Arabidopsis thaliana: one gene and its partner. The protein of the gene in region 1 interacts with the protein of each later gene in a pairwise test. Each region holds a gene or a part of one and is shown on either strand. Other genes may lie near its edges.

Region 1 (5,246 bases):
CTGGAAAGCAACTGGATCACCTGGTCCAGTCTTTTCCAAAGACAACAAAATGATTGGAGCAAAGAAAACTATGGTTTTCTACACTGGAAAAGCACCCACAGGAAGAAAAACTAAATGGAAAATGAATGAGTACCACGCCGTTGACGAAACAGTCAACGCTTCCACAATCCCTAAGGTACTTGCATATAATTAAAAACTTTTAAATTAGAACATTCTTGTTACTTTTAATAACGAGATTTTTTGTTTTTGCTTTCTTGAAAAATGTAGCTGAGACGTGAGTTCAGTTTATGTCGAGTCTACATAACAACAGGAAGCTCCAGAGCTTTTGATAGACGTCCTGAGGGAGTTTTGCAGACAGAGAGAATGCTAACAAGTGATGTTGCAGTAGCTGAGACATCGTTCCGTGTGGAAAGCTCACTGGAAACTTCGATTTCAGGAGGAGAACATATTGATGTCTCTATGAACACAGAGTTTGTTGATGGACTATCAGAACCGATGTGGGACTGGGAACAGCTGACTTGGCCTTGAAGCTATATAGATTTTATAATCAAGCAAATTTAAACTTGTTTCAATTGCTTATTGTTAGTTTGAATTTTATGACCCGAAAGATTCTTTTTCTTTCTTTACCTTGTAACGTGAGAATTTGAGAAATAATAAATGACCTAGACAGTGACATTTGAGATGTTTTCTAGAGAATGTTGGAGTCATGGGCACGTGTGATTCAGAAACTCAAAAGTCTAAAGACAAAATTTGGCAGAAAGTTAGTCGTCTGGAAAATTAGCATAATCCAGTGAACCAAACCAGGAAGTTGTGTAAATCAATGTTGTTTAGACTTAAACCGAACTCAAAAATACACAAAAAGGTTCATACAAACCGTCAAATGGTTTGGTTCAGAGATATTTTAAACCAGCTCTCTTCTATATAAAGTTTCAAGCACTGTTCTCAGTCTTGTATTTCCTCATCTTCCATGTACTTCTCCTGTACAGCTGCGACTGTGAAGACTATCGTCAAAGAAACAATTCTTTTGTAGTAGACGTAAAACTAAACTCAAGAGTTATTGAGAGAAGTAATGGTTAAGAAATCCAAAATGCTAAAAAAGGATATCTGTTATAATCCCAATCAGTTTGACCAATTGCAATCTTGCTGTATTCAACCACACTTGCATCAATGCCGGCAAATATGTATCCATTGCTCTTGTCGATGAGCTTTACTAGATCCCCAACACTTTCTTTATCCTGAAAACAAAAAAGAAAATTGCGAAAAGATGCTTGTACAGAGAGAAAGAGAGAGAGAGGTAAAGGAAATCGCAAACCTGAATATCCAAGGTTGTAAAATTAACAAGACTGTAATCTTCAATGACACTACATAGCTCTTTTGTTAGTTTTCTGCAATGAGAAACATCAAGCTCATGAGATATTGAGCATGCTTCTAAATGGATAATTATTAACCGTTCAATGTGTATTCAGATGATGTTTACATCGAACCTGTACTTAGCAGAGCGAGGATCTTGACTAAGATGGTGCTCCAAGTATGACAAGTCTTGAACATCGGTATAGAAATCTAAATTGAAAGCTACATGCACAGAGATCCTAGTTAGTGAGTCCACAGTATACATTTGAAAATTCGATGTTATGAGAACAAAACCATAGATAGATTATTAATACCTAGCTTCCCGTAGCTTCCAATCAGATCGATTTTAGACAATACATTGACATGTGGGAGTTCCATGTGAAGCATTGTGGATAAGGAGAGAAGTAGCGAACTTACGTAGTTCCCGGGATCACAACATAGATGGGAATCAATTAGTTGCACAGCAGTTAACTGCAGAACAAAGAAATTCATCAGATATGTAGACTCCTAAGTAAGGTTCATTTAGCAAGTTAGTAATAAGTGAAGTAAAGCACATACTCTAAGGTTCAATGATTTAATCAGCTTCGTGAGAACATTCTTGGTACTGTCATGAATGAAGAACAATTCCACTTGGCCAGGAAAATCAAAGAGAATGTAATGATCTGCAAACAATTCAAAACGTTTTACTTTAAGAAAGAGATATTATGACCACGAAAAGAAGAAGAAGAAGAAGGGACATATCGTTGCTAACCCTTCAGAAGAGGCTTTAGTTTAGATTCCAGCCAGTCAATGTTTTTCTCCAAGTACTCCATACAATATACAAGACCTGTCACATTAGAAAGTTTCTTTGTTAATTTGACCAAAGATTAAAATCAAAAGTAAGAAGAAAAGGGAAAATCAAGATGGCAAAATTCACCTCCATTAGGACCAAGCGAGTGTTCCGACATAACATCTTCTAACTTGATCAATTCTTCTATATTCACACCACACTCATAACTAAAATCAATGTCAAGAAACAACATACACCTGCAATTTTTAACAATTTTGTTGTATTTGGCTTGAAAAGGATACGGTAATGCATCATTTGCAGGATCCAGATTAACAATAGCAACCTTCCTGCAACAACAACAAAATAGTAACTCAACGTTAAGAGAATTTACTTACAGAGAAGTTCTCACGAATCTGCAAATCTCTCTACCAAAAACAAAGACAAGGCAACAACATTTCACAATGACTCTGCTCAAAAGTCAGACAATTCAAATTTCTGGAATTCAACACTATTATTTACTAAAGTTTGCAACTTGTAAACTTTACAATGCGAGGGACAGCGAAACAATCAATACAAACAGAATTACAGATACAAAAGCCAAGTAAGCTTCATTCTTTGATCCAAAAAGAGAAGAGAAGAGAAAGAACATGAAACCTGCCCATTAGAGAGAGGAACTGAGACATTCCATTGCAATAAGTGGTCTTTCCCGATCCTGGAGGACCTATTACTACTTGTCCAAACACCATGCTTCTGAAGACGAAGAAGAAGATTGATACCAATCGGAGTCAAACACGTTGTATAATATCAGAGCCAGTCAGACAAAAAAACACAGTAATTGCAAAGCAAAATCATCTAATCATCAAACTAACATAACATGAATATTCAATAGAGAACATCAAAACCCTTCTAAACACTGAGCTCGTAGCACAATAGAAATCGGAAATGTCATTTGTTCGTCGGACACAGAATACAAACACAATCCTCCAATATTATTAACCCAATTCCTAAACCTCGTTTATAATACAACAAACAATTCACTGGAGAAAGAGAAGCAGAGAAACAATTTGCTTCAAGAGCATATTCATTATATCAGAAGCAACTGGAGACACAGAAGAAAATAAATAGAGAAGCTCGCCTGTGTAGTTAGCCGGAGAGAGAAGCAATGACAGGTCTGTTTGCCGGAGCAAGAGAAACTCGCAGCCGGAGACTCGTCGAAGACTCGATTCAAGGCGAAGTAAGCTCGCCGAAGACTCGATCGGTATATTTAAATTAGGGCTTTAATTTTAATTCGGTTTATTCGTGCTATACTCGAACCGAACCGGATAATCGAAATTAAAAAGAAGGAAACGATCAAGTTATTATTGGAGTATCCGAACCCAAACCGAAAAGTGAATTTCGGGTCGGTTTGTTTTCGGATAAGTTACCAAGGCCTAATAAATTGGTAAACCGTAAACCGATGCATCAGGGTTTAAAATGTAACAAAATAATATTTTAGGTGACAATTAAAAACGTAACAATAAAACAAGGGGTTATATTCGAAACGTTTGCACCTAACCTTATAACTTCGCATTTTTATACTCTGTTCTGATCGCAGCAAAGCCGACGTTGAACTTTCTCGCCGCCGGAGCGCGTGATCTCCACTCTCTGTCATCGAATCACTCTAATTGAAGATTCTCCGATGGCGATTGTCTATGCTGTTGTAGCGAGAGGTACCGTGGTATTAGCTGAATTCAGCGCCGTTACGGGAAACACAGGCGCCGTGGTGCGACGGATCCTCGAGAAGCTTTCACCGGAAATCTCCGATGAAAGACTTTGTTTCTCTCAAGATCGTTATATCTTCCATATTCTTAGATCTGATGGTCTTACCTTTCTCTGTATGGCCAATGATACCTTTGGAAGTAAGTATTTTTCACTTTCTCCGAATCGTAATCTCTCTTAAGAAGATTTAGTCTTTGTAATTGATTCTGAGTTTTATGTTTTGATGTGTTGGTGATTGGATTTTCAGGGAGGGTTCCATTTTCGTATTTGGAAGAGATTCATATGAGATTCATGAAAAACTATGGCAAAGTGGCTCATAATGCTCCAGCTTATGCAATGAATGATGAATTCTCAAGGGTTTTGCATCAGCAGATGGAGTTCTTCTCTAGTAATCCTAGTGTTGATACTCTCAATCGTGTTAGAGGAGAAGTCAGTGAGGTATAATTGTTTCTTCGTATGATCTCTAGATATTACTCAGCTATATCCATTGAAAAGGTTGAATTTTTATGAGTTATTACGCCTTCTTGGCTCACACAGGCTTCTTTAAATCTGTCTTGGGTGAAAGATGAAGTTTGTTATCTCATTGTTGTGTTATCGTGTTTACAGATTCGATCGGTCATGGTAGAGAACATTGAGAAGATAATGGAAAGAGGTGATAGGATTGAGCTTCTTGTTGATAAAACAGCAACAATGCAAGATAGCTCGTTTCACTTCAGGAAGCAATCTAAGCGCCTTCGCCGAGCTCTTTGGATGAAAAATGCTAAGCTCCTGTAAGGATCTCTCTCACTTCTAGATTCTCTTCATTCCTTTTCTTTGCTAACTAAGAGATACGCTCTTCTACATTCTAGGTGTTTCAACTCGCCTTTGCAGCATAGTTTATTGATATGTTTCTTAAACTAGAGATACAGTAGTTCTAAGATTCAACATTATTTTCGATTTTGGGAAATTCTCCTCGACAAAATATCTAATTTTTGGCTGATAGGAACTACACTGCCTTGATTCCACCTCTGCTTAAAGAAATTTCATTATTGTTTTGTTTTGATGCTTGAGTTCCAGATCACTTTTATTAATCAACAAAACTGCTTTTCTTGTTTGTGTTCGGCAGGGTCTTGTTGACATGCTTGATAGTTTTCTTGCTGTACATAATAATCGCATCTTTCTGCGGAGGAATCACTTTACCATCATGCAGATCTTAAAATCTGGCGGCCTTATCTAAGGTATACTGAAACGGACCACTGTTTTTGTAAATCAACTCAGTCGCATCATTTCGATTTGAAGCCTTGGTTTTGTCATGAAAATGACTGTGAGTTTGAAGTTACATGTCATGGTCCTCCTTGCTTATGTAACTCTTGTAAATGTCAAAATCAAA
Region 2 (4,862 bases), on another chromosome or scaffold:
AGGCTAGAAGCTTACCTACAGATAAGCTGCGGATAACCTATATTTCTGTCAACGTGGCTGTATATTTGGCTCAGGTTCATATCTGATTTTTAGCTTCTTTTTTTTTTAATTCCCGTTTATGTTGTAGTTGCTGAGTTTCCTGAGATCCATTTATATACATCTTTTGCAATTATTGGTGTTTCGAAACTGTAGATTGTGCGTGTTTCCTACCTTGTCCTTCTTTCATTAACTCTGTAACCATTCTTTGCTACCAAGAATCTGTGTGACCTTAGTCACTAGACATTTTAGGTGAATCAAAAGATGTAGAATAAGTTTGACATGTATTTGATGTCTCTATCAGATTGGTATCTGGGCATACATCTGGGTACATGATAACAGCACTGTGGAGTTAGTTGGAAAGATATTTATCGCAGGTAGGTTCTTTGTCTGGTCAAGCAAGTTTGCTAAAACCTTTACTGCTTAATCTATAATATTCCCTCTCTTATCTAAAATCTATATTGACCTATTCTTTTGGTTAATCTTCTTCTTCTAGTTGTGTCTTTCATCGCCGCATTAGGCTTCTTGCTGTATGGAGGAAGGTCTGTGTTTTTGTTATTTTCATATGTCTCATCATCAAAATGTCTGCAAGTTCTTCATTGGCTTTACTGGGCCGTCTTTTCTTATGTGTTTTTTTTTATGCCATAGATTGTTTTTCATGCTAAGAAGGTTCCCTATCGAGTCAAAAGGAAGAAGGAAGAAACTCCACGAGGTACTTAGATTCATATATCTGTATGTGAATAATTTGTCTTATATAGTTCCATAAAACTTTGAACCCAAACATTTCTACCTTCAAATATTCGTCTCTTTTCATTGCAGGTTGGATCTGTGACAGCTATATGCTTCACCTGCTTCCTCATAAGATGCGTTGTGGTAAGCTCAAAATTAAATCTTTAGCTTCCGTCATTGTTTTAGTTATCCTGTGATGTGTTATTTAATGTATTCCATGCAAACATCAGGTGGCTGTATCAGCTTTTGACAAGGATTTAACACTTGATGTTCTTGATCATCCGGTTCTGAACTTAATCTACTATATGGTAAGTAACACTACATCTTCATTCTTTCTCTTTCTTATTCTCATTCATTAACTCGAAAAAAAAAAAACTACAGGTGGTAGAAGTACTTCCATCGGCACTAGTCCTCTTCATTCTCCGAAAGCTACCTCCAAAGAGAGTATCAGCTCAATACCATCCGATCCAGTAGAAACCTTTGTCACTGAACCATCTCACACGGTGAGTATGATGCTGTTTAAGAGAAGAGTAAAGATTAAAAAAAAAATTGGGGCAAAAAATGAAAGGTGAAGAAGAAATCGGTGTGGAATCTGCGTGAGTTTTTGGAATGCACGTTCATATAAATGATTTTACAGCTTTTAGTTGTTGTAGCCCGCCGTGACTTTTGGTTTGGTAGTTTATGTCTGTTAAAATTATAAATTGCTCTTCTGCTACTTTGAAAAATCTGGTCAGTAGTACAAGAGGTTTAACATTTGTTGCGTCGATGGTTGATTGTTATGTTATGTTTGGTAAAAAATAAACGAATGCTCTTCTCCAGTTTCCTTTATGCTTTTGTCAACTGTTACATCTTCTTCTCCTAATGATTTGTATATACTTAAGCTTTTCCATAAAACTAAGTCCCAGTGAAGAAAGAAACTACGTAAACCGAGAAAACCAAGCAAAAAGAGGGTTTACACAACATAAAATGATTAAATTGAGAATCATTTGCATTACCTCGGTATTACATGGGCTGGAAATAACTTATTGGGCCTTGGACCTGATTTTCCAAAAATGGTCGCTCACATTAATATTTATATGTGATTTTACAGTGACAACTCCACAAATCAGCCCTAACTCTGTTTTTGTTTTCTTCGACGACTGAGGTCTTTTCTCTCTCGCTCTCGTCTTCCTCTTGATTCTCTTCTTCTTTTCTGGAGTTTCGCTGCTTTTTTAGCCTGTAAAAATGACGAAAATTTTGTATGAATTTGTGTGCTGATATGCTCGAATCCACATGTTACGCTTGTGTTGAATAATCATATCATTTGGTTATCGAATCAATTCTAGTTCCAATTTACAAAAATCTATCAAACTCTTTACGTTTTCTGGAGTATGTTGAGCTTGAAACTAGTGACATAGATGAAACATTAAAAAAACATGGAATTGTTAAGTTTGTGAAAATTGGATTCGTCTTTGTGATTCTTTATTCTTTGTCTTTGCTGTGATATATAAAGATTTTGTATAGAACAACAATTTGGGAGATGGAGACACTGAAATTGCTGTATTTGGGATTATTGGCAGATAAAAGATTCATACAAGAAAAAAGCAAATTTCGCCACTGATGGATCCTATGGAGTCGTCTAGTGAACAGGTGATGAGTTCATCTCTGTCACTTTAATGGCTTTTACTATTGGTTTATCTGCTTATACAATCAAAATGATATCATGGTACTGTTTTAGATGGTGTTTATTAGCCTAAGTTACTGTAAAATAACAAATGAAAAAACCTCTGAAATGAAATTGTATTTGTTGTTTTTACTTTTAAAAGGACATTGTTGAAGAGAGTCAAAAGCTGGTTGACTCATTGGACAAGCTTCGTGTTAGTGCTGCGAGTTCATCTTCTAATTTCAAGAAGAAGCCTATCATTATTATCGTTGTTGGAATGGCAGGTAATAATATCATTTCTCACTAATGTTTTAAGTTTTGGTTTCCTGTGAAGGGATTTCATTAGTTTGATCATGTGAGATGTTTGTTTGTTATATGTGTAGGTAGTGGAAAAACTAGCTTTCTTCATCGCTTGGTCTGTCATACTTTTGATTCAAAGAGCCATGGTTATGTGGTGAACCTTGACCCTGCTGTTATGTCTCTACCATTTGGTGCCAACATCGATATAAGAGACACTGTCAAGTACAAGGAAGTTATGAAGCAGTATAATCTGGGTCCTAATGGTGGAATTCTCACTTCACTCAACTTGTTTGCTACTAAATTCGACGAGGTAAACATACCTCTGGAATTAGTCCAGATGATTACTGATTTCTTCTCACATTGTGTTAGTTCTCTCGGTTTTCATTGATTGATCTGTCTTTGTTTGCTACTTGTTTTAGGTTGTCTCTGTGATTGAGAAACGTGCAGACCAGCTTGATTATGTTCTTGTGGACACTCCTGGTCAGATTGAGATCTTTACATGGTCTGCTTCTGGGGCTATAATCACTGAAGCTTTCGCTTCAACCTTCCCCACTGTTGTCACCTATGTGGTTGATACTCCCCGTTCCTCAAGCCCAATCACTTTTATGAGCAACATGCTTTACGCTTGTAGTATTCTCTACAAGACTCGGTTGCCTCTTGTCTTGGCTTTCAACAAAACTGATGTCGCAGATCACAAGTTTGCTTTAGAGGTTAACTTTCTTTAATTGCCTACTTTATTATTATTGTGTTGTAATATCTTCTCTTTAATCCTTTGGTACTGATTTGGTTTTATGCAGTGGATGGAAGATTTCGAGGTCTTTCAAGCAGCGATTCAGTCTGATAACTCGTACACGGCGACCTTAGCTAACAGTCTCTCCCTTTCACTCTACGAGTTCTACCGTAACATAAGATCCGTTGGTGTTTCTGCAATCTCTGGTGCTGGAATGGATGGCTTCTTTAAAGCCATTGAAGCAAGTGCTGAGGAATACATGGAAACTTACAAGTAATGATGCATTCTTCTCTTCAATTCACCCTCTTTTGTCTGCAAGTTCTACGCTCATGATTTGTGTTTTACTTCAGGGCTGATCTTGACATGAGAAAGGCGGACAAGGAGCGGTTGGAAGAAGAAAGAAAGAAACATGAAATGGAAAAACTAAGAAAGGATATGGAGAGTTCTCAGGGAGGCACTGTGGTTTTAAACACTGGTTTGAAAGACAGAGATGCAACAGAGAAGATGATGCTAGAGGAGGATGATGAGGACTTTCAGGTTGAAGATGAAGAAGACAGTGATGATGCCATAGATGAGGATGATGAAGACGACGAGACGAAGCATTACTACCTATGAATTAAACTCAAAGACCAGGCTTATCAAGACGCTTGTACTGGTTTTGTTTGCGTCCTTCCCTTGTTGTCCCAGTTGTGTAGTTAAAACATAAGAATTGATTCTCTTTGTGAGACATTGTCTAATGATCTAATGACGAAACTATAAACTAGCACTTTTGAAGACTTTGTACACAATTTGAGTTCATATGCACAAGGAGGAAACACATTTGTATCGGACAAGAAAAGCAGACAGAAAACTAGGGAAAAAAATCAGAGCCAACACTATCTCACTTCCACATTATCCACAACTATAAAGGTCAAGAGTCAATAACATTATCTGAGTACACTTGAACTGTGCGTTGTGGCTGGTGTTTTGTGGAGGATCAAGATTCAGTCTTGGTGGATTTCATCAAAAGGCGCATGAGCAAATCTCACATCTTCTGGCCTTGCAATCACGACTGGCTCATCAGCAAATAGGGCCTTGAGGAAAGATGGAGTTTTCAAGGGACGTCGATCCGTCATTCGGGGATACACAAATGCCAAGAAGTAGTATGCGTGGCCCGCTATCATTCCCTATAAATTTGGATAAAGGTTACGGATAAGGATGATGATGCACAGAAAGGGAAGAAGATATATGTGAAAGCGAATTAGGAGAGATAGCGTACCAGAAAATCCCCCCATGCACTTGCACCAACAAGGATAGAGAATCCAAGAAGTACCTGTAATTTCAGAATTTGGTAAAAGAGGCGATTTAAAGCATCAAACTAGTTAGGGAACTTCCGTGAAGAGAATGCAAAAGTCCAACTAACCCATGGTAAATAAGCTGCTGTGA

What was found.
Region 2: the proteins of QQT1 (region 1) and QQT2 interact in a two-hybrid assay, tested with the Arabidopsis thaliana proteins (one study listed by BioGRID).

What each region holds. Positions count from the first base shown.
Region 1 is NC_003076.8:7,404,206-7,409,451, reverse strand, and holds QQT1 (P-loop containing nucleoside triphosphate hydrolases superfamily protein), read right to left. Parts: upstream 3,423-5,246; 5' UTR 3,255-3,422; intron 3,231-3,254; exon of another isoform or gene 2,870-3,230; 5' UTR 2,866-2,869; coding exon 2,774-2,865; intron 2,467-2,773; coding exon 2,422-2,466; intron 2,347-2,421; coding exon 2,267-2,346; intron 2,177-2,266; coding exon 2,102-2,176; intron 2,013-2,101; coding exon 1,909-2,012; intron 1,822-1,908; coding exon 1,665-1,821; intron 1,573-1,664; coding exon 1,485-1,572; intron 1,386-1,484; coding exon 1,313-1,385; intron 1,236-1,312; coding exon 1,105-1,235; intron 995-1,104; coding exon 943-994; 3' UTR 700-942; downstream 1-699. Other genes in the region: NAC090 (NAC domain containing protein 90), read left to right, coding at 1-175, 268-528; VAMP714 (vesicle-associated membrane protein 714), read left to right, coding at 3,798-4,017, 4,125-4,315, 4,484-4,647, 4,983-5,073. UniProt on the Arabidopsis thaliana protein: Small GTPase that is essential for the correct formation of the tangential divisions in early embryos. Associates with microtubule during mitosis and may function in the positioning of the division plane.
Region 2 is NC_003075.7:11,570,925-11,575,786, forward strand, and holds QQT2 (P-loop containing nucleoside triphosphate hydrolases superfamily protein), read left to right. Parts: upstream 1-1,864; 5' UTR 1,865-2,003; intron 2,004-2,324; 5' UTR 2,325-2,364; coding exon 2,365-2,394; intron 2,395-2,570; coding exon 2,571-2,691; intron 2,692-2,790; coding exon 2,791-3,017; intron 3,018-3,126; coding exon 3,127-3,417; intron 3,418-3,504; coding exon 3,505-3,710; intron 3,711-3,787; coding exon 3,788-4,052; 3' UTR 4,053-4,221; downstream 4,222-4,862. Other genes in the region: TOM1 (tobamovirus multiplication 1), read left to right, coding at 3-74, 341-413, 533-578, 685-748, 856-909, 996-1,073, 1,147-1,239; DER2.1 (DERLIN-2.1), read right to left, coding at 4,421-4,603, 4,696-4,749, 4,840-4,862. UniProt on the Arabidopsis thaliana protein: Small GTPase that is essential for the correct formation of the tangential divisions in early embryos. Associates with microtubule during mitosis and may function in the positioning of the division plane.